5 linked regions of the Callithrix jacchus genome follow. The protein of the gene in region 4 interacts with the protein of the main gene of each other region in a biochemical or structural test. Links are inferred from orthologs where the notes say so. Each region holds a gene or a part of one and is shown on either strand. Other genes may lie near its edges.

What was found.
Region 1: of the proteins of DTL (region 4) and CHEK1, one has a biochemical effect on the other in vitro, tested with the Homo sapiens proteins (2 studies listed by BioGRID). The link is inferred for Callithrix jacchus from reciprocal best matches to the Homo sapiens genes DTL and CHEK1.
Region 2: the proteins of DTL (region 4) and CUL4B form a complex in vitro, tested with the Homo sapiens proteins (2 studies listed by BioGRID). The link is inferred for Callithrix jacchus from reciprocal best matches to the Homo sapiens genes DTL and CUL4B.
Region 3: of the proteins of DTL (region 4) and CDKN1A, one has a biochemical effect on the other in vitro, tested with the Homo sapiens proteins (3 studies listed by BioGRID, with this or other methods). The link is inferred for Callithrix jacchus from reciprocal best matches to the Homo sapiens genes DTL and CDKN1A.
Region 5: the proteins of DTL (region 4) and KMT5A form a complex in vitro, tested with the Homo sapiens proteins (2 studies listed by BioGRID, with this or other methods). The link is inferred for Callithrix jacchus from reciprocal best matches to the Homo sapiens genes DTL and KMT5A.

Annotation. Positions count from the first base shown.
Region 1 is NC_133511.1:25,261,028-25,264,247, forward strand, and holds the end of CHEK1 (serine/threonine-protein kinase Chk1), read left to right. Parts: intron 1-582; coding exon 583-684; intron 685-2,029; coding exon 2,030-2,125; 3' UTR 2,126-2,568; downstream 2,569-3,220. UniProt on the Homo sapiens protein: Serine/threonine-protein kinase which is required for checkpoint-mediated cell cycle arrest and activation of DNA repair in response to the presence of DNA damage or unreplicated DNA.
Region 2 is NC_133524.1:116,476,717-116,481,477, forward strand, and holds the start of CUL4B (cullin-4B), read right to left. Parts: upstream 2,936-4,761; 5' UTR 2,857-2,935; exon of another isoform or gene 2,271-2,856; coding exon of another isoform or gene 2,086-2,270; exon of another isoform or gene 2,047-2,085; intron 1-2,046. Other genes in the region: MCTS1 (malignant T-cell-amplified sequence 1), read left to right, coding at 2,086-2,270, 4,268-4,420.
Region 3 is NC_133505.1:44,980,633-44,985,107, reverse strand, and holds the start of CDKN1A (cyclin-dependent kinase inhibitor 1), read right to left. Parts: upstream 2,933-4,475; 5' UTR 2,818-2,932; intron 2,678-2,817; exon of another isoform or gene 1,012-2,677; intron 1-1,011. UniProt on the Homo sapiens protein: Plays an important role in controlling cell cycle progression and DNA damage-induced G2 arrest. Involved in p53/TP53 mediated inhibition of cellular proliferation in response to DNA damage.
Region 4 is NC_133520.1:17,234,725-17,238,723, reverse strand, and holds part of DTL (denticleless protein homolog), read right to left. Parts: intron 2,593-3,999; coding exon 1,760-2,592; intron 1-1,759. UniProt on the Homo sapiens protein: Substrate-specific adapter of a DCX (DDB1-CUL4-X-box) E3 ubiquitin-protein ligase complex required for cell cycle control, DNA damage response and translesion DNA synthesis.
Region 5 is NC_133510.1:126,589,633-126,593,631, reverse strand, and holds part of KMT5A (N-lysine methyltransferase KMT5A), read right to left. Parts: intron 2,094-3,999; coding exon 2,034-2,093; intron 793-2,033; coding exon 602-792; intron 1-601. UniProt on the Homo sapiens protein: Protein-lysine N-methyltransferase that monomethylates both histones and non-histone proteins. Specifically monomethylates 'Lys-20' of histone H4 (H4K20me1).

The sequences.
Region 1 (3,220 bases), on a different chromosome or scaffold from region 4:
ATGGCTGAGTAGTATTTCATTGTGTATGTATATCATATTATCCTCATCTGTTTGCTTGACTTTTTGTTTTGTTTTTTGGAGACAGGATCTCACTCTAGCTCATGCTGGAGTGCAGTGGCTCAATCATATCTCACTGCAGCTTCGACCTCCTGGGCTCAAGTGATCCTTCTGCCTCAGCCTCCCTGAGTAGCTGGGCCTACAGCCATGCACCACCATGCTTGGCTAATTTTTTTGGAATTTTAGTAGAGATGAGATATTGATATGTTGCCCAGTCTGGTCTTGAACTCCTGGGCTCACAGGTCTTCCTGCTTTGACCTCCCAAAGTACTGGAATATAGGCATGAGCCACGGTGCCTGGCCTATTCTCATCTGTTGTTGGGCACCTAGGCCAATTCTGTATTTTGGCTATTGTGAATAGGCATGCAAAGGTCTCTTCCATATAATTTCCTTTCCTTTGGATAACATCTCAATAGTGGGTTTGCTGGATCTTACAGGTAGTTTTATTTGTAGATTTGGAAGAACTTCCATTCTGTTCTTCATAGTGGGTATACTATATGGCTTAACCTTATTTTTGTTGCTTTAGGTTACTATATCAACAACTGATAGGAGAAACAATAAACTCATTTTCAAAGTGAATTTGTTAGAAATGGATGATAAGATACTGGTTGACTTCCGGCTTTCTAAGGTAATTTTATGTTTTATTTTAGTATTTTTCTATGGAAATATTTCTATGTGACTTTTTAAATGCCATTATGTTTGTATATATGTGGCATTTGTAAATAGAATGTAACTTTTTCATTTAGAGCATGTGCTTTTGTTAATCTATTTTTCCCAAACATTGTTTTTTCAACCGACATTTTCCTTATTATAGAAGTTTTTGCTAAGCACGGTGGCTCACACCTGTAATCCCAGCACTTTGGGAGGCCAAGGCAGGTGGATCACAAGGTCAGGACTTTGAGACCAGCCTGGCCAACATAGTAAAACTAAAAATACAAAAAATTAGCCAGGCATGGTGGCGGGTACCTGTAATCCCAGCTACTCGGGAGACTGAGGCAGGAAAATCGCTTTTACCCGGTAGTTGGAGGTTGCAGTGAGCCGAGATTGCATCATTGGACTCCAGCCTGGGCAACATTATGATACTTTATCTCAAAAAAAAAAGTTTATGCTTTTGTGAAAAATGTAGATAAGCAAAAAATGGTAAAATAAAAATAATTCTAAATTTTCCTGCCCAGCAGTAATCACCTTTAAGATTTAGAAGCATTTTAATATTTTTCTTAATTTATCTTTTAATAAAAATTATGATTTGTTTAAAAATATTTCATTATATAATAAACCTTTACATGTTATAATACTTCTGTGATTGATACATTATGCATAGATTTTTTGTTCATATTTGTGATTTCTTTAGGAATTATTAATTTTAAAGTTATAGTTTTATAGCCCTTAATATATAAATCCAAAGTAACATTTTTTCCATTTTCCGAGAGATTGTATGTGTCTCTAAAAGGGGTTGGAGGGGTAGCTGCTGTGTTAGAGCATTTGCTGCAGTACTCCTTGTATTAGAGATTTGCTGCAATACTGTTTTTCAGATGCTTACTATGGAATTAAATTATTAAGATCGTAGTATAATGAAATTCGTCTCATAACTAAATCTGTTGGTTTTATTGCAATAGTGTTATGACAAGATTTCAGTTTAGTTGTATAGCTTATTGTTAGTTTCCAAAGCCTACTGCCTATGCAATGTAATGACATAGGTCCAGATATACCAACACATGAAACAGAGAGGATGCCATTTTATCTGCTCTCTGAGCTCAGTGCAGTAGAAACAGTGATGGGCATGAAACTACATCAGAATTATTATCTCTGCCAGGATATTTGGTCTTGATAAACTGGCCTAAAAGGAAATTTTAGCTAGACATATATGTAAGGATGTTTGTCTCTTATTACCACTAAAAAGAGATTGATTTTAGGGCATAATCTTGTTTTTGTTTTTATTTTGACATTATTTTTGAATACTATTTCTAATATAGGGTGATGGATTGGAATTCAAGAGACACTTCCTGAAGATTAAAGGGAAGCTGATTGATATTGTGAGCAGCCAGAAGGTTTGGCTTCCTGCCACATGATCCGACATTGGCTCTGGGGAATCCTGGTGAATATAGTGCTGCTATATTGACATTATTCTTCCTAGAGAAGGTTAACCTATTCTGCAAACTGCAAACAATAGTTCCTGAAGTATTCACTTCCCTCTTTATCCAAACATCTTCCAATTCATTTTGTTTATTCTGCATACAAATAATACCTATATCTTAATTGTAAGGAAAACTTTGGGGAAAGGATGAATAGAATTCATTAGATTATTTCTTCATGTGTATTTACTATCTGAATTTGAAATTCATCTGGTGGAAACCAAGTTTCAGGGGACATGAATTTTCCAGCTTTTATATACACATTTCCCATTTTTATCAAAACATTTTGTTTAATCCAAAAAGTACATATTTCTTCCATGTTGACTTAATTATAAGATGAACCAATAAAGATATAAACCTTGTGACTTTTGGACAGTAGATTTATCAGTCTGTGAATTGAGGCTAGCTTCAAAACATATATCCCCAAGATTTGTACTTATATTTTCAAAAGGGCCTGGTCAGTTATGTATTCCTGTTTTTGAATTATAATGATTAATTAAAATTGCAAGTAGGTGTGTTTTCCAGTATAGTTAGTAAAATACTGGTTGGCCTTTCAAGGAGAAGTGGAGCATGAACTAGTGCTTAACCAACTTTACTCTAAAAATTACTGTGAGCATCTTAAATATTTTTCTGTATTTTCTACTTTCACAGCCATATTTTATCTAACTTTTTGAACTTACTTGTGACCAAGCTTTTAGGTGATAAAGAATAAAAGAGGGAAGGGAAGAGTAAGGAAGCTATAAGAAAAATAGATCTGATTCATTGTTCCTTTACCTATGACTTACAAAACCTTTCTTTTTCTAATAAAATTTGTATTAATTTTGGAGCATATTAGGTTGAGGCCTTGGCTCCTGCCTGTAGTCCCAGCTACTTAGGAGGATAAGAGAGGAGGATTGCAGGAGCCTAGAAATTTGAGGCTATAGTGAGCTATGATTGCATCACGGCAATCCAGCTTGGATGACAAAGTGAGACCCTGCCTCTAATAGAAATTTTTAAAATTGTAAAAAAGTATAAAATTAATTAGTTATTTTA
Region 2 (4,761 bases), on a different chromosome or scaffold from region 4:
GGATTAGGGCCAGGCGTGGTGGCTCACACCTGTAATCTCAGCACTTTGGGAGGCCAAGGTGGGCGGATCACTAGAGGTCAGAAATTCGAGACCAGCCTGACCAACATGGTGAAATCCCATCTTTAAAAAGAAAAAAGAAAAAGAATAAATAAATAAATAAAATGGATTAAAGATTTAAATCGAAGACCTCAAACTGTGAAACTACTGCAAGAAAACATTGAGGAAAACTTCCATGACATTGGTCTGGGCAATGACTTCTTGAGCAATATCCAACAAGTACAGACAACCAAAGCAAACATGGGCAAACTTGATTGCATAAAGTTAAAAAGCTTCTGCACAGCAAAGGATACAATCACCGAAGGGAAGAGACAACCCACGGAATGGGAGAAAATATTTGCAAACTACCCCTCTGACCAGGGAATAATAATCAGAATATATACATAAGGAGTTCAAACAACTCTATAGGCAAAAATATAATAATATGATCAAGAAATTGACAAAATATTTGAATAGACATTTCTCAAAAGAAGACACGAATGGCAAATAGGCATATGAAAAGGTACTTAGCATCACTGATCATCAGAGAAATTCAAATTAAAACTACAAGATATCATCTCACCCCAGTTAAAATGACTTATATCCAAAAGACAGGCAATAACAAATGTTGGTGAGGATGTGGACAAAAGGGAATACTTGTACACTGTTGGTGAGAAAGTAAATTAGTATAACCACTATGGAGCACAGTTTCGAGGTTCCTCAGAAAACTAAAATTGAGCTACCATATGATCCAGCAATCCTACTGCTGGGTATATACCCAAAAGAAAGGAAATGAGTTTATCAGAGAGATATCTGCACACCTACGTTTCTTGCAGCAGCGTTTACAACAGCTAAGATTTGGAAGTAACCTAAGTATCCATCAACAGATGTTTGAATAAAGAAACTGTGGTACATATACACAATGGAGTACTATTTGGCCAAAAAAAAAAAAAAATGAGATCCTGTCATTTGCAATAATATGGATGGAACTGGAGATCACTATGTTAAGTGAAATAACGCAGGCCCTGAAAGAGTAACATCACATGTCCTTACTTATTTGTGGGATATAAATATCAGAACAATTGAACTCATGGACACAGAGAATAGAAGGTTACCAGATGCTGGGAAGGATAGTGGGGGATTGGGTAGTAGAAGTGGGGTTGGGTAATGGGTACAAAAAAATAGAATGAGTAAGATCTTCTAGGGCTGGGCGCAGTGGCTCAAGCCTGTAATCCCAGCACTTTGGGAGGCCGAGGAGGGTGGATCACTAGGTCAAGAGATCGAGACCATCCTGGTCAACATGGTGAAACCCCGTCTCTACTAAAAATACAAAAAATTAGCCGGGCGTGGTGGCGCGTGCCTGTAATCCCAGCTACTCAGGAGGCCGAGGCAGAATTGCCTGAACCCAGGAGGCATAGGTTTCTGTGAGCCGAGATCGCGCCATTGCACTCCAGCCTGGGTAACAAGAGTGAAACTCTGTCTCAAAAAAAAAAGAGATCTTCTATTTGACAGTGCAATAGGGCAATAGGGTGACTTTTATGGTTTGGATTTTTTTCCCACCCAAATCTCATCTTGAATTGTAATCCCCATAATCCCCACATATCTGGGGAGAGACTTGGTGGGAGGTGATTGGATGGTGGAAGTGGTTTTCCGTATGCTGTTCTTATGATAGTGAGTGAGTGCTTACGAGATCGGGTAGTTTTATAAGGGGTTCTTCCCACCAGCCCTGTGGTGGTGCATGCCTGTACTCGGGAGGCCGAGGCTGGAGGGTCACTTGAGACTGGGAAGTTGTGGCTACAATGAAACATGATCATGCCACTGCACTCCAGGTTGGGTCGAGTAGTAAGATGCTGTGTCTAAAACCAAAAACAAAGTAAAATCCTTGACTGGCAAAATATTCTCTATCAGCTTTCTTTTTAAAAAATTACATAAGTAAAACATGTATCTTTAGTTATTTATCTCTTTAATCAGATTACCTTCTGTAATAATTCTTTGGGAATTATTCTACAGGAGGGCAGTCATTGACGCCTGTAACCCCAGCACTTTGGGATGCCAAGTCAGGAGGATTGCTTGAGCCCAGGAGTTTGCAACCAGCCTGGTCAACGTAGACCCTGTCTCTACCAAAAAATAAAAATAAAAAACAAAAAACGGGCATGGTGGCGTGTGCCTGTAGTCCACGGTATTTGGGAGGCTGAAGTGGAAGGATCCCTTGAGCCCAGGAAGTCAAGACTGCAGTAAGCCAAGACAGCACCACTGCATTCAAGCCTGGGCAGCAGAGTGAGGCCCTGTCTCAATAAAAACCCACAAAAAACTATGGGGGCATCGTATGGTTGCCAGTGAATAAGGGTTACCAGATAAAAAACAGGACGCGCAATTAAATTCAGCTAAACGAGGACTGTATATTTTTAGTGTAAGTATGTCCAAAATATTGTTGAGGTATACTTACACTAAAACAAGTATTCATTGTTTACCTGAAATTCAAATTAAGTAGGCATCCTATATTTTCATTTGTCAAACCTGGCAATCCTACCAGCACTTTAACATGAAGCTATGAGGTTTGTCTGGATTCATGCTGGTAGGTAAGCACCAATCCATTCAGTTGCCTCAGACGGAACAAAAGCCATTCTCCCTAAAAAAAGAATCTTTTAGTGTGACGGTAGGTAGCAACGAAGCACGGAAGAAACTTGACCCTTTGAGGAACCCGTAACAGACGCAAGTGCCTTAAATGCTACTTTGATTGATTTCCCCGCCCCCTCCATTCTTCTTTTCCTGCAATTGTTCTATCACTTCTTCCCTCTCAAGTCCCGCCCTTTCAGCTACCTCCAACTGCAGAGGAACCGGTTGCTTAAAAGGAGCCGGCAAAAGCGCCTACGTGGAGGCCAGAGGAGCGGAAGTAGTCAGATTTGACTGAGAGCCGTAAAGCGCGGCTGGCTCTCGTTTTCCGGATAACGACTACACCTCCGACTGTCAGTGCCGGCCTTCCTCGTGTAAAGGGATCTGCCGGACCCTTGCAAATTCAATTTCGTTCCCATTCCGGGCCCTTCCCTATCGTCGCCCCCTTCACGTTGGATCATGTTCAAGAAGTAAGGACATGCTGTGGCCTCCATCGGCTGCTCACAAAGGCGGTGGGGTGGGGGTGGGGAAGAGGGCGAGAGCTAAGATCCGCTTTCTCTCTCCCCCGCCCCTGCCATCCTGACTCCCTAAGGTTTTCTATAGTACTATGCTCTAACTCGCAACTTGAACACTTCTTTAAGCTTTCCATCCGTAGTCCTCAATCGGGTTTCGTTCCCTTCACTCCCATTGTTTTTTCTCCTTATCCCTCTTTCTCTTTTGCCCCCTCCCCCGATTCCGTCTCCATTCCTAGGGTTCTACCAATCACATCCGTGCACTGTGATTTAGGGGCATATCCTCTTTAGCTGAGAGGGGAGCCCTGCGCTCACTGCCATATGTTTATTAGTTATGAACTGAATAAAGGAAGGCTTGACTTCCTGGGTCATGGGAGTGAAGGAGTCTGGGTGACAGGAAGCAAGCGGCCTGTCATGCCTATTGCCTAGCTGCCAGATTAACCTTGCCTTGAAAATAACGTGATTGCCCCATAAGCTATTCAGTGTAAGGAAGACAAAAATTCCTTGGGAACCTACTAGTGGGTTTGCCTTCCAGGTTTGGTAGACGCAAAAAGCAAAGGGGGAACATGGGCAAAGGAAGGTGGGTTTTTTGCATGAAATTTTGAGCAAAAATAAATAGGGATCTTATAAATCATCACTTTAAAAAAAGTCTCAGCAGACTGCATAGCCTAGCAGGGGCCGATTTTCTATGTTATGCTTGGGTTGGTCTTTTGTATCAATTGAGGGTTTTGTTTTTTGATCACAGGTTTTATTATTGGTGGGAGCCCGTGTTTTTCCTGGGTAGAATTGAATAAGATTTTCCAGGAAAGGCATTTGTGTAGCTAATTAGAGATTATGGTGCAAAGTGTGTCTTATATTCCTCTCCCCAACCCCAGCTAATTGCTGTATACTTGACAGTTAATTTCAATATTGTATTAAGACATTAGTTTTGTGCTGGACAGAGTAAAAGGGAGGTGGTATTTTTTTTTAAAAAAACAACTTATTTCATAATTATTTTAAGTATCTAAATACTTGCTTGGGAATACTAATCAGAACAATACCTTTAGGTATTATGATACCTCTACTTAGAAATCCCTTTTTCTTTTCTTGCAAAAATTACTTGGCAGATTTGATGAAAAAGAAAATGTGTCCAACTGCATCCAGTTGAAAACCTCAGTTATTAAGGGTATTAAGAATCAGTTGATAGAGCAATTTCCAGGTATTGAACCATGGCTTAATCAGATCATGCCTAAGAAAGATCCTGTCAAAATAGTCCGATGGTAAGTCTTTGTTTTTGTCTGTGTAAAGCTTGGAGTAGCTGAATGTTCAATGATTAGATTGCACTCATACTAAATGGAATTATTTTCAGATTAACTATTGATAGATTGATAATGGGGATAGACACAGAATAACTCCAAAACTCCAATATTTGTATTTTCATAGATTTTCTATGTCCCTGAAAAAAATGTGGCTTTGTGTATTGTTTTATTAAAGAGTTAAATGTTTTAATTCAGAGTTGGATTTAATTTATTTCAGTTTGTTCTTTAGAGAATTGTTTTATTGAATTATCTAACAATGGAATTAAAATAATAAAATGTGAAATAAAATTGGTTGTAGCAGG
Region 3 (4,475 bases), on a different chromosome or scaffold from region 4:
GCTGCGGCAGGCAGATCACTTGAAGTCAGGAGTTCAAGACCAGCCTGGCCAACACGGCAAAAACCCTATCTCTCCTAAAATTATAAAAACTAGCTGGGCGTGGTGGTGCACACCTGTAGTTCCAGCTACTCAGGAGGCTGAGGCAGGAGAATTGCTTGAACCCAAGAGGTGGAGGTTGCAATGAGCTGAGATCACGCCACTGCACTCCAGCCTGGGTGACAGAGTGAGATTCTGTCTCAAAAAAAAAAAAAAAAAATTAGCTGGGCATGGGGGCTCACGACTATGGTCCCAGCTTCTTGAAAGGCTGAAACAGGAAGATTGCTTGAGTCTAGGATGGTGCCATTGCACTCCAGCCTGGGTAACAGAGTGAGACCCTGTCTCAAAAAAAAAAAAAAATCACTTAGGGAGCTTTTTCAAGGCCCTGCCTCTTGAGACCAACTTAATCCAGATTGAAGATTTAAGTAGGTGTTTGAAGATTTAAGCAAGTGTTCAGCACAGTTCCTCAGATGGGCACTCTTGGGGTATCAGACAAGGGGGACACTGGTGTGTTTGAAATGGACATTCTGGGTCTCAATACATCAGAGGCACAAGGAAGGGCTCCATCAAGGATATTCCCTGGCTCTCAGGAGCTCAGGATAAGACTAGGATCTAGGCAGGCACCCTTTCCTCTTCTACCACCCCTTCCCTTAGGGCTCTCATAGGCCTCTCCTCCCCCATCTAAATCTGCTCTCAGGCGCATTGTCATAACTTTCAGCCCAAAGAAAACTCAGAAACGCAAACCCTTGTTCTACAAATAACTGAGAATAGCCTCCTTTGTTGGCCTTCCTGCCTTAGACTTCAGTCATACTTTAATTTCCAGTAAGAGCTCAATAAATACTGTTGAACCTAAGGAGTGTTCCTTTGAAGGAGCGGTGAATGGCATAGGGGTTGATCTCAGATGAGCCCGGAGTACCCGCGGTGGTTCCCGCCTGCCAGCCCCACTCCGCGGGAAAGCGGGTGTGCCATTCTCACCAGGGCCGGGAGGGGGCGCCGGCCTCCAGGAAATCACGCGCGGGGTGGGAGGTACGTGGGCAGAGCATTGGACAGCGGGGGAGTAGCGATGAGTCAGTTTCCCGCAAGGCGCTGCCCGCCCCCGCCAAAACTCCGCTTCCACTCCGGCTGCGCGTCACACTGGGGTGGGGAGAGGGAGAATGGGAGGGGACCGGAGGGCCGCGAACACGTCACGCTGGGCAGGCCAGGCTTCCAAAACTCCCGCCGCTGTTGCGAAACCGCGCGCTCCTGCGCCGTCTCTGACACAGACACACGGGCGCGCGGGCGCGCACACACACACACACACACGCGCGCGCGCGCCGAGAGCTGGCCCCTCCACCTTATCTCCACGCCCAAAGCACGGGATGAGTCAGATCCCTGGAAAATAAAAATAGACGGGAGCAACGAAAACAAAATCTCTCGGAAGTTCTCCCAAAAACACGACGTGGAGCGAGGGAAGGAGACGGGAAGCTGTCTAGGCGCCCCAAGTTCCAAACCCATCCCCTAGATGTTTTTCTGCACTAAGAGGGCGCAAGTGTCCCCCGGGGATTCCGGACTGAGAGGACGTGCCGTGGTCCGCGCCCGGCGGCGGCGCTCACCCCGCTGCTCCGCTCAGTCTTGTCGCTTTCGGAGAGGGAATCTGGGCTAGGTCGGGGCACCCCGAGCCCCCGCGGCAGCTGATGGAGGCCCTGAGCAGTGTCGTGCCCCCCAGAAACGCCACCAACGCCGCAAAGACAGGATCTCTCCCCACCTCCCACTCAGGCGTAGGCTCCGCTCTTGCCCGGGAGTCCAGCGCCCCGACTCGAGGACAAGCTGGGCCGTGGTTCTCCCGGCCGCGGTGGTAAAGAGGTAGAGAAGACCCCTGCCCTTCCTCGACTGACAGGCTGGTTAGAGCCCGCCCAGCGCAGGGCGTTGACTCCCCGGCCCCTAGGGCGCGCCGCGGAGCGGGGATCAGACGCGGCGACCTGGACCTCCAGTGCCCGGCTTCCCTGGGAACACGCTGTGCCAGCCAAATTGGTCACTGTGCTGATGGGAGGGCGAGACCTGAAGGGACAGGGAGGGGGCTTCTGGGTTCCCACTGTACCCCAGCCCGGGCGAAGTTCTGACCTTATACAGTCCGTTCCCTGGGGTCTCCTTGTCACAATGAGTCAGCTCCTCGCTTGTCCTTAGGGGACGTGTCCTGGCACATTCCCAAGGGCCAGGAAACTGCTCGCACTTACCTCAGCGCCCAGCCAGGTGGTGGACACAGTGGCGTAGAGGACCTGAACCCCGGGACGTGAGCCAGGGCGGCGCCGCTTGGTTCCGAAAACCGCCCGGGACCGATCCCAGACGAACTTACTCCACTCCGCTTTCCTCGCCCCTCCTGGACCCCTCCAGGGACACGGACTTCATTCCCACGCCAGGAGCAAACTGCACCTGGGGCTTGGAGCCCACCGCTGCGGAAGGCGAGCTCCCAGAGCGGCCCCGTCTACGCCCTCCCTCGCCCCAGCTGGGTTTCTAGGGGCGGGGAGCGTGGCCCGGGATCCCTGTACTTGTAATCCCGCTCTCCGCCCGGAGTCTCCGGCACATCCCGATCCCCGTCACCCGAGCACTTTACAGACACCGTATGCGGAAGCCGAGCAGGCACAGACCCACGCCCGTCATTCACCTGCCTCAGAAACACCTGTGAACGCAGCGCACACCCGCGGACACGCATCCCCGCGACACCCACGGACACAGGCAGGCTCGCTCGGCTCGGCTCTGGGCCGGCGGCCTGGGGTCCCCTGTTGGCTGCCGCCGCTCCCTCACCTCCTCTGAGTGCCTCGGTGCCTCGGCGAATCCGCGCTCAGCTCTGACCCCACAAGGAACTGACTCCCGCAGCTGCTCACACCTCAACTGGTGCCGCTCTGCGGGCGCAAATATAACCTACCCCCAGGAGGGGCGGGACCCGCGCTCGTCCTACCGCGCCGCCCCTGGACGGCCCTCCCCCAGGCCCGGGGCCCTGGCTGCCCAGCGCCGAGCCAGCTGAGCCTGGCAGAGTTCCAGCAGCCCCAGACGGTCCCGGAACCTCGCGTGCTGCAGGAGGGCGCTTCCCTCCTCCCGTTGTCTCTAACGTGCGTCGGTACACTGGACACATTTTTCCCACAAAGTGAGCCTCAAATTTGGCCTTTTTTAGTTGGAGAATGACTTGGCACTCCCCAGGAGGGCGCTGTTCGAATGAGCCCCCTTTCTGGCCCACCGCTGACCCACTATGGCAGGCAAGGATTTACCCAATGCAGCTGAAAAGATCAGGAGGATGACAGTCGTAAATAAAAATCCATAAATAATAAAAACGATGCGCCTCTCTGCAATTTCCAGAAAAGCCCCACGATACCACCTCTATTCCCATTGATCCCTCATTAGGTCACCTCTCCCAGACACACCTGAGGCACCTAGACACCCCAACAAAACATCTTGAGGCCAGAATGATTTTTCAGTCCCCTTTATTTCACAGATGAGGCAACTGAAGGTCCACTGAACTTAAGTATACAAAGATGTTGATTGTCACATGCTTCCGGGAAGGAGGGAATTGGAGACACTATCAGAAAACCGAGGAGGAATTGGACATTGAACCAATCTCCGTACACCGTACACTCACCTCAACAGAAGAACTCTGTGATTGCAGCTTTGTTGGCTAGGAAGCAGAGGATTTGATGAGTGAGTTGTCTGTCTCCTAAATACTCCCCACAGGGCCCATATACACTGCTGGGGAAACTGAGGCTCAGAAGAGTTTAGTGACCTGACTCAGATTATGCAGCAAAGAAATGACTATGGTGGGAACACAGGACTTTTGCCTCCTGCCCAAGGCTCTGTGCTTGTCACCCTTTATTTCTGTGGCTCCAGAATGACAAAAATACCCAATAACCCTCATTTGCAGACAGTTTATGGAAATGACATAAATAAAGGATAATTCTGGAAGTGTCTACTGGTGCTTCTGCCAGACACAGAAATGAGTAACGTGTCTATCTGCTCCCGTCTACCCCATACCTCTGACCTCCCTTGGACTTCATCTTTGCCTCCTTTATGTGCCTGAAACATGTGCAGTTTTGCTTTGAAAAATTGCAGAGGATGGATTGTTAATCTGAAAATAAATCCCACTAAAAAATAGGAGCCAGGCTTGGAGCAGCTGCAATTACTGACATCTCAGGCTGCTCAGTCTGGAAATCTCTGCCCAGGCATGCCCCAAGCCTTTTTTTTTTTTTTTTTTTTAATAAAGGTTTGTAATGAATTATAAAGTTTTGTAGTATTGGGCTTCACAATGAAATAATTCTTTGCACATCATTTTTTATTATATATGGATTTTTATTTATTAATGTCATCCTCCTGATCTTTTCAGCTACATTGAGTAAATGCTTGCCTGCCATAGTGAGTCAGTGGTGGTGGTGGGCCAGAAAGAGGGTTCATTCTAACAATGCCGTGCCCTCCTG
Region 4 (3,999 bases):
ATCTTCGTCATGCTGGTCTTGAACTCACCTCAGGTGATCCACCCGCCTCAGCCTCCCAAAGTGCTGGGATTACAGGCGTGAGCCACAGCGCCTGGCCTCAACTCCAAATACTTTGAATTGCAATGTCTTTTTTGGCTGACTTGTACTGATTATAGTGAAAGCTTAACAGATGCTATGTAGGAAAAGAAGGCATAGACTTTTTATGTGGATAGAAAACAATTATTAGCTAAGTCCTCTAATAAGAAACAAAGAGGTTACAATTACTATCCTTTTTGAAATAAATTAATAAATCAGCCCCCTGCAGTTTACAAACAAGATAGGTATTCGAATGGGAGCTGTTTATTCTCTTTTGAAAGTTGATGTTATCATCATATAGACAAAGGTAAAAAATTTTTAAGAACTGTTAGCTTCAAAGAAATTATGAGACCAGTACACTATTTCTACTTTTTAAAGATTTTAAGATTTATATATTAGTAAAAATAGTTTTTCATTGAAATTACTTTTCTGCTAACATATAGCTGAGACCAGCTCCCTTGGAAAAAAAAATAGAAATTTTGGCTAGCGATAAAGAGCAGTCATAATTTTGAGAGAAGGAAAGATTCCTTATAACTGTCTCCCACCCCCCCCACTTTCTATAGCAAGGTCTTGATTGCAGTTTGTATACTAAGCAGTCTTTATTTTTTTCTAAAATTATGGGATATACCTTCATGAGAGCAGGAGTAATTAAAATAAACACTTTTTAAATTTAATAAAAGTGTTCATATCTCCCACCTGCTCTCATGAAGGCCTAATGTTATCTAACTTCTGCCCTTTAAAATGGCAGATGATGCTGATGATTCTGGATTCTATTTCAATCATCTTGACACCACTTCCATAACTCATAACAAGAGCTACTGTGAAGTACAGTGCAAAGTTCCTTAACCATCTCCTCTTAACATGCAAACAATAGAAGCTTTCTATTCCCTCTGACTGGTGCCCACAGCTCACCCAATGATCTCAGCTACTTCTGCCTCCTACACTGTAATGAATCTTGTTTTTCAAGGTTCACAAACCTATTTCTGGCAGCAATCTCTGATACTGATATTATCTAATTTAAATATTAAGTCAGTCAATGAAATGAATCCTAAAAAGATAAGTGACACTACACTGAATGTTAAAAAGAATAGATATAGGTGTCAAAAGTATTATTGTGGTGTGGCAAGATGATTATAAAAGATTGGAGAAATCATAAAAATCTAGAAAGATTCTGTACTGAAATTGTTTTGTAAGTATCTAAGTTTCAATGTATTTTAAATAATTATAAAATGTAATTACAAACTGGAAATCTACTTATGGATGTTGGCAACTTTCCCATGAACAACAGCTTTATCTATAAAAAGAGGATGGCATACTGTCTAACAGGAGAGGGGAGATATTTTTGAATTGATATCCTGGAGCATGATGAAGGCTTTAGTGAATCAGGCAACAGGGCTGAGAAGTACGGACCCTGACAGGAGGGATTTTAATGGGAATAAACAGAGTTGCCAGATAAAATACAGCATATCCAGTTATATTTTAATTTCAGACAAACAAAATAATTTCTTAGCACAAAAAATTTTTAGTAAAAGTATGTCCCATGCAAAATTTGTTTTGTATATGTGCTAAATTTGGCAGTACTAGGAATAAATAGATTTTTTTTTTTAAAGCATTCTGATGAGAGATATGGGTGTCTGGCCCCCTTTAAGTTAGGAAATGTATCTTCCCACTACTGCTGACTTACCGGGCCTGGTGATGTCTTTCCACTCTGCCTCCTGGAATTGGGTGTCTGAGATGATGGACTTCGTGGAGATGGATTCTCAGCCTTCCGTTTGGCTGCCATGGCCAACAACCAGTTTTTATTCTCTGGGGAACTGTTCTCTTTGCCTACCATTTCAGACCCTTCTCCACAGGGTCTCAAAGGAAGCGGTAGTGTTCCACAGGTTTCTGAAGCATACGGACTGACAGGAGAAGGAGGCTCTGAGATACTTGTACCAGCTCCTTCAATTTTGCTTGATTTGGTAGGACCTAGAGAGTCCTTACTAAGGTCTTCCTGGTTACCAGCAAGGCAGCACAGATCCAGATGAAGATTTTCAACTTGGCCATCAAGCTCAGTCACACAGTTACAACTCTTCACACACTTTTGTTTCACACTCTCCAGACAGCTTGAGTCTAGCCTCCTCTTCACTCTGTTTCTAGACTCAGAGCAAGCCTCTGCTTGGGATGATTTCTGGCTAACGGGAATGAGGGCTTTTCTTGGAGACATGATCTTGGTCTCAGAAGCAGGTGGAGTGATAGGTGGTGATGAGGAGGGTGTTTGGGTCACCCAGTTTCTAATTGACATCTTGAAAGATGAAGGTGGCTTGGGAGAGACAGAGGAGACAGAACCTCTTCTGTTGATGGGAGACCGGGCCTTGGCAGGAGGGGTTTTAATAGAGAACGTAGGAGTATTTGAAGGAAGAGGGAGGTCTCCAGCACAGCTTGGAGCACAAGCTGCGGATGATGGGGAAGAAATGGATGGATTGTACTTCACCCTGGGGGCTTTGGCAGGAGTACTCTGGCTACTTGTTACTGTTACTGAAAAAGAGGAGAGGATCATGAAAATCAGAAATGAAAGCCATACAAAGTCCCTAAATTCTCAGTAAGAAAAATCAGTTAACGTAATAATCCAAGGGTCAATTTGCTGGTAAGCAGGTTATATACATCATTTGATTCCTACTATACCCTTTTATCATTTTCCTTTCTCTTTTCCAACTTGCCAACCTCCCAACTATCCCAGTGTAAAACATATACTTGTAAAAATCGACAAAACACCACAAAACAAAGATAACAATTTTAAAGCACCTAGGTAAACCATGTTTAGCATATGTTCTATATTTGTGCATGTGATATATACTATATATCTCAACCTTTTTCTATACAAAAATGAGACTGATGTAAGGGCAAAGTGGCAGGTAGGAGGCAGGACTAACTTGCCATTCAGACAGACGGAACAGCATGTGGAGACTCACATCATGAACTTTGGCTCCAAGAACTACTGCAGGAACGTACCAGAAAAAAACAAAAGAATTCACGGATCCTTTGAAAGAAGCAGCTTGCTGCTGCAAAATCTGTAAGACAGCAGAAAAACTGAGTGCCCAAAGTGCGAGAGGGCTCCTGAAGCTGCGTGCTTGGTTGAAGAGAATGACCATCCCGATAGAGGACCAGTCTTTGGTCAAGGGTATATGAATAGCTGCACTCCCCTCCTAGAACCTCCAAACGAGCTCTCAAGGTCCAAAGTGTGAGAGGGTGGCCGGAAGAGGTGGCTCACACCTGTAATCCCAGAATTAATGGAGGCCAAGGTGGGCGGATCACTTAAGGTCAGGAGTTCAAGACCATCCTGGCCAACATGGTGAAATCCTGTCTCTACTAAAAGTAAAAAATTCAGCCAGGCATGAGTGTGCACCTGTAGTCCCAGCTACTTGGGAAATTGAGGCAGGAGAATCGCTTGAACCCGGTAGGCGGAGGTCGCAGTGAGCCAAGATTGTAGCACTGCTCCAGCCTGGCTGACAGAGTGAGACTCCCTCTCAAAACAAACAAACAAAAAACAGTGTGAGAAGGGGAGGTCCACCTCTGCACACATGCTCACTGTCCAGATCATAGGAGAAGGAGAACTGCAATGAATTTAGAGAGCCAAGCAAAATATAAAAGTAGAAAAAGCAGAAGGAAGAGCCCTATAGGCACTCCCAGTCCCCAGAAAAGCCATTTCTGACTTTATCTCACAGCGGTCTTTGGAGAGGGCAGCCAATGAAACGGGGGGAAGGATCACAGGGAGAAGGAGACTTTCAGCTGAACTTTGTTAATAATTTCAAATAAGCATGAATTTCCCTGAGCAGAATCTGCGGGGGGAGGAGACAAATGGGAAGTGTAGATATGAGCACAGAAGCTGTCGCAGGTAGATGGATAGGGCCTGAAAGCCCTGCTTGCTTTCTCAGTGGGAAGGCA
Region 5 (3,999 bases), on a different chromosome or scaffold from region 4:
AATAATAATAATAAAATAAAATAAAAAGGGAAGCTGGGACCAGGCACAATGGCTCACGCCTGTAATCCCAGCACTTTGGGAGGCTGAGGTTGGTGGATCATCTGAAGTCAGGAATACCAGCCTGGCCAACATGAAGAAACCCGTCTCTACTAAAAATACAAAAATTAGCTGGGAATAGTTGTGGGCACCTGTAATCCTAGCTACCCAGGAGGATGAGGCAGAAGAATCGATTGAACCCAGGAGGTGGAGGTTGTTGTGAGCCAAGATCACGCCACTACACTCCAGCCTGGGCGACAGAGCAAGATTCGAAGAAAAAAAACAAGGAAAGCACAGGATAGTTACATCACAGCTTTGAAAAAAGGCAATAGGCTGGGCACGGTGGCTCACACCTGTAACCCTAGCACTTTGGGTTGGAAGGCCAAGTGGAAGGCCAAGGTGGTTGGATCATCTGAGATCAGGAGTTCAAGACCAGGCTGGCCAACATGACAAAACCCCATCTCTACTAAGTAAAATACCATACAGAATCAGGAGTTCCTGGCCCTTTGGGCTCTCCTCACTGCCCAGAAGACAGAAAAGCCACTCAAAGCAACAGTAGACTTACCAGTAGGTTTTGCTCAGATACTGAAAATAGTACATGTAGCAGCCCGTGGAAGGGTCCTGTGCGTACAGAGCCTCCCGCTTCTTAGCGTCAGTGATCTCAATGAGGTCCCCGTGGTATTCCACCACAAAGTCACCCCGAGAGAACTGCTTTGTGGCAATCACACCCCTGCCTTTGCCATCGATGAGGTCAATCTGTCAGGAGGTGATAAGAGAGGCTGTTGGCTCATAACAGCAATGGATGCCACCACGCACAGCAGGCCTCTGGAGAGCTGAGGGCTGATACCAGTCTTTCACAGCTGTACTGAGCTGTACCATAAAACTCACTTGCTTTACACGTACAGGTTGATGGGCTGTTTGAGATGGGTACATAGCTGTGCAACTGTCACTACAATCCAGCTCTAGAACATTTCTGTCACCCCACAGACTTGGTTCCTTGGTACTCATCTGCAAAGCACTGTTACATCAGAGCTCATGAGAGATCTGCTGGATGGAGACTGCCTCATTTTGTAGATGAGGAAACTGAGGCTTAGAGGGGCAGAGCCACGTGTCTGAGGCCCCACAGCTAGGCAGTGACATAGCAGGGACTCAAATCCACACTTGGTTTCTCTGCCTAGGGGCTGTGCTCTATGCCTTCCTAGGTGAACAGCAGGCCCAGTGTTCTGGGTCTGTGCCTCGCTCCACGATTTCTCTCCTGTGTCTCCTCATTCTATTCTACATGGAGTCAGAGGGGGTTGCTGGAGGGGTCCAGGACTTAAGCGGGGGTCCCCCTAAGTGGTGGGTGGAAGTGGAAGGTTTCTGAGCCCTAAGCCCTAATCCAGGCCTATCTGAGCCCCACTGTAGAGAGTTCCTTTCCTCTCACCCAAACTGGGTATGCTTGAAATGCAGTAAGAGAAAAGCACATTTCTTGGGCATTGTCATTATCTAGGAAAACAGAGTTTAAAAATTTATTAGTTTCTCCTTTTAAAAGTTTCCCCAGGCTTCAGCTACACATTGTATAGTCCCATTTATATAAAGTGTCCAGAAGAGCAACTCCACAGAGACAGAAAGCAGCTGAGTGGCTGCCAGGGGATGGGCGAGGGAGATTCGGGGATGGTGGGCAGTAATGGGAGGATGAAAAAGTTCTGAAATTTGACAGGGATGGTGGTTGCATTGCATTGTGAATGTACAAAAAGCCACTAAATTGTTTAACCACAATTTCTAAGAAAAGTTTCCCCTAAATAACATTTATATACAAGGCCCATTTATGTTTCCTTCATAAGGTTTTTCCTTAATGAGTTTTAGTGTTTGGCTCTTTCACAACCTAGTAAGAGTCTGACTGGTCCCCATGGCCATTAGAGGGTTAAAGCCACGTGGTGGCCACTCTCAGCCGAGGGACCAGGGAAGGCGAGTCTTCCAGCTTTAGCCATGATGCAGCCAGCACAGCAGCCCCTTACCTTCATTCCTTCTTCCTTCCCACTTTCAATCAATTCATCTATTCTTTTCCTTTCTTCAGACTGGGTAGAGAGAAAGAAAAATAGCATCAGCATCCTCTCCCAAGCCCATCGTGGGTAGCTTGAAGGCCTTGAGCCCTCATTGCCTAGGCCATACCCACCGGGTCACCATCGGCCTCATTTGGCATCATTGTGGATGATGGGTACCCAGTGATGCCAAAGCCCCCAAGTATCCCTTCTTTTCTCATCATCCATCTGTGTGGATGATCTGGGGTTCAACTAGATCAGGAAGGAAACAGTGGGGACCCAAGAACAGAATGGGGCTTGTAGATATGTTCTTTGCCCATGCAGCATGTTGTAAAATGTCCAACTTGCCCAAGTTTGAAAATCAGGTACAGCAGATCAGAGGCTGTGCCCTTTGGATGGGACACAGGCAGTCCACATCCCTCCATTCTGACGGCCCCTACTGCTGTCCATTTAGGATCGCTGAGCTTCACCTGTATAGAAGCTACCACCATGAATAAAAAGAGGACCTCCAATCCAGAGGGTCAATACAGCCCCGAACAGAGAACCAGGAGGAGGAGGCACTCCCAGATTCACCTCTCCTCGAAGGCCAACCCTCCTGTACCTACTTCCATCCCTAACCCTGGGTTCCACTACTCTGCCATCACACAGACACTATGAAACAAAAGGGAACCAAATGAAGACAGACCAGAAGCTCCAAACCAGTGTGGCTCCCCCCAAACCAGCATGTCTCGCTAGCACAGACTGTCACCAAACCAGATGGCACATGTCGAGAGCCCAGCACCAACTGCTGAGCTCAGCCCATTCCCCTACACAGAGGCCCAAACCAGCTTGCAGCAATCTGTGCTGGGAACCATGGTGAATGAGCAACATCAAGGGCAGTCCCAAACCCTGCCATCTCCTCTCCATCTCCATTCTCACTGCTGCCCTGAGCCCAGCCACCGCACCTCTCTAGTCACCGGGCTTCCACTCTGACCTCAGGGAACACTCAGTTCTCCACACAGCAGTCAGTGGCCTCTTTAAATTGTAAATGAGGCCAGGTGTGGTGGCTCTCTCCTGCAATCCCAACACTTTGGGAGGTCCAAGAGGAAGGATGGCTTAAGGACAGGAGTTAGAGACCAGCCTGAGCAACATATCCCGACACTGTCCCTACAAAAAATAAACAAGCTGGGTGTGATGGCACATACCTGTGGTCCCAGCTACTCTAGAAGCTGAGGAAGGAGAATTGCTGGAGCCCAGGAGGTTGAGGCTGCAGTGAGCCATGATTGCACCACTGCACTCCAGCCTGGGCAACAGAGTGAGACCCTGTCTTAAAAAAACAAAAACATGACTAGTCATGGTGGCTCACATCTGTAATCCTAGCACTTTGGGAGCTGAGGTGGGTGGATCACTTGAGGTCAGGAGTTCAAAGACCAGTCTGGCCAACATGGCAAAACCCACCTCTACTAAAAACACAAAAATTAGCTGGGTGGGTGACTGTAATTACAGCTACACGGGAGGCTGAGGCAGGAGAATCACTTAAACGCCGGGGTAGAGGTTGCAGTAGGCCAAGATTGCGCCACTATACCCTGGGAGACAGACTGAGTCTCAAAAAAAAAAAAAACCTTCCCAAAAACTTACTTAATAGTAATATACCTGATAAAACCTCACATATCAATATTAACCTTCAACATAAATGGATTAAATGTTCCACTTAAGAGATATGGAAGGGTCAAGAAGGTTAAAAAAAAAAAGAAAGATACACATATTGGTGGAATGGATTAAAAAAACAAAACTTGGCCGGGCGCGGTGGCTCAAGCCTGTAACCCCAGCACTTTGGGAGACCGAGGCGGGTGGATCAGGAGGTCAAGAGATCGAGACCATCCTGGTCAGCATGGTGAAACCCCGTCTCTACTAAAAATACAAAAAATTAGCTGGGCATGGTGGCGTGTGCCTGTAATCCCAG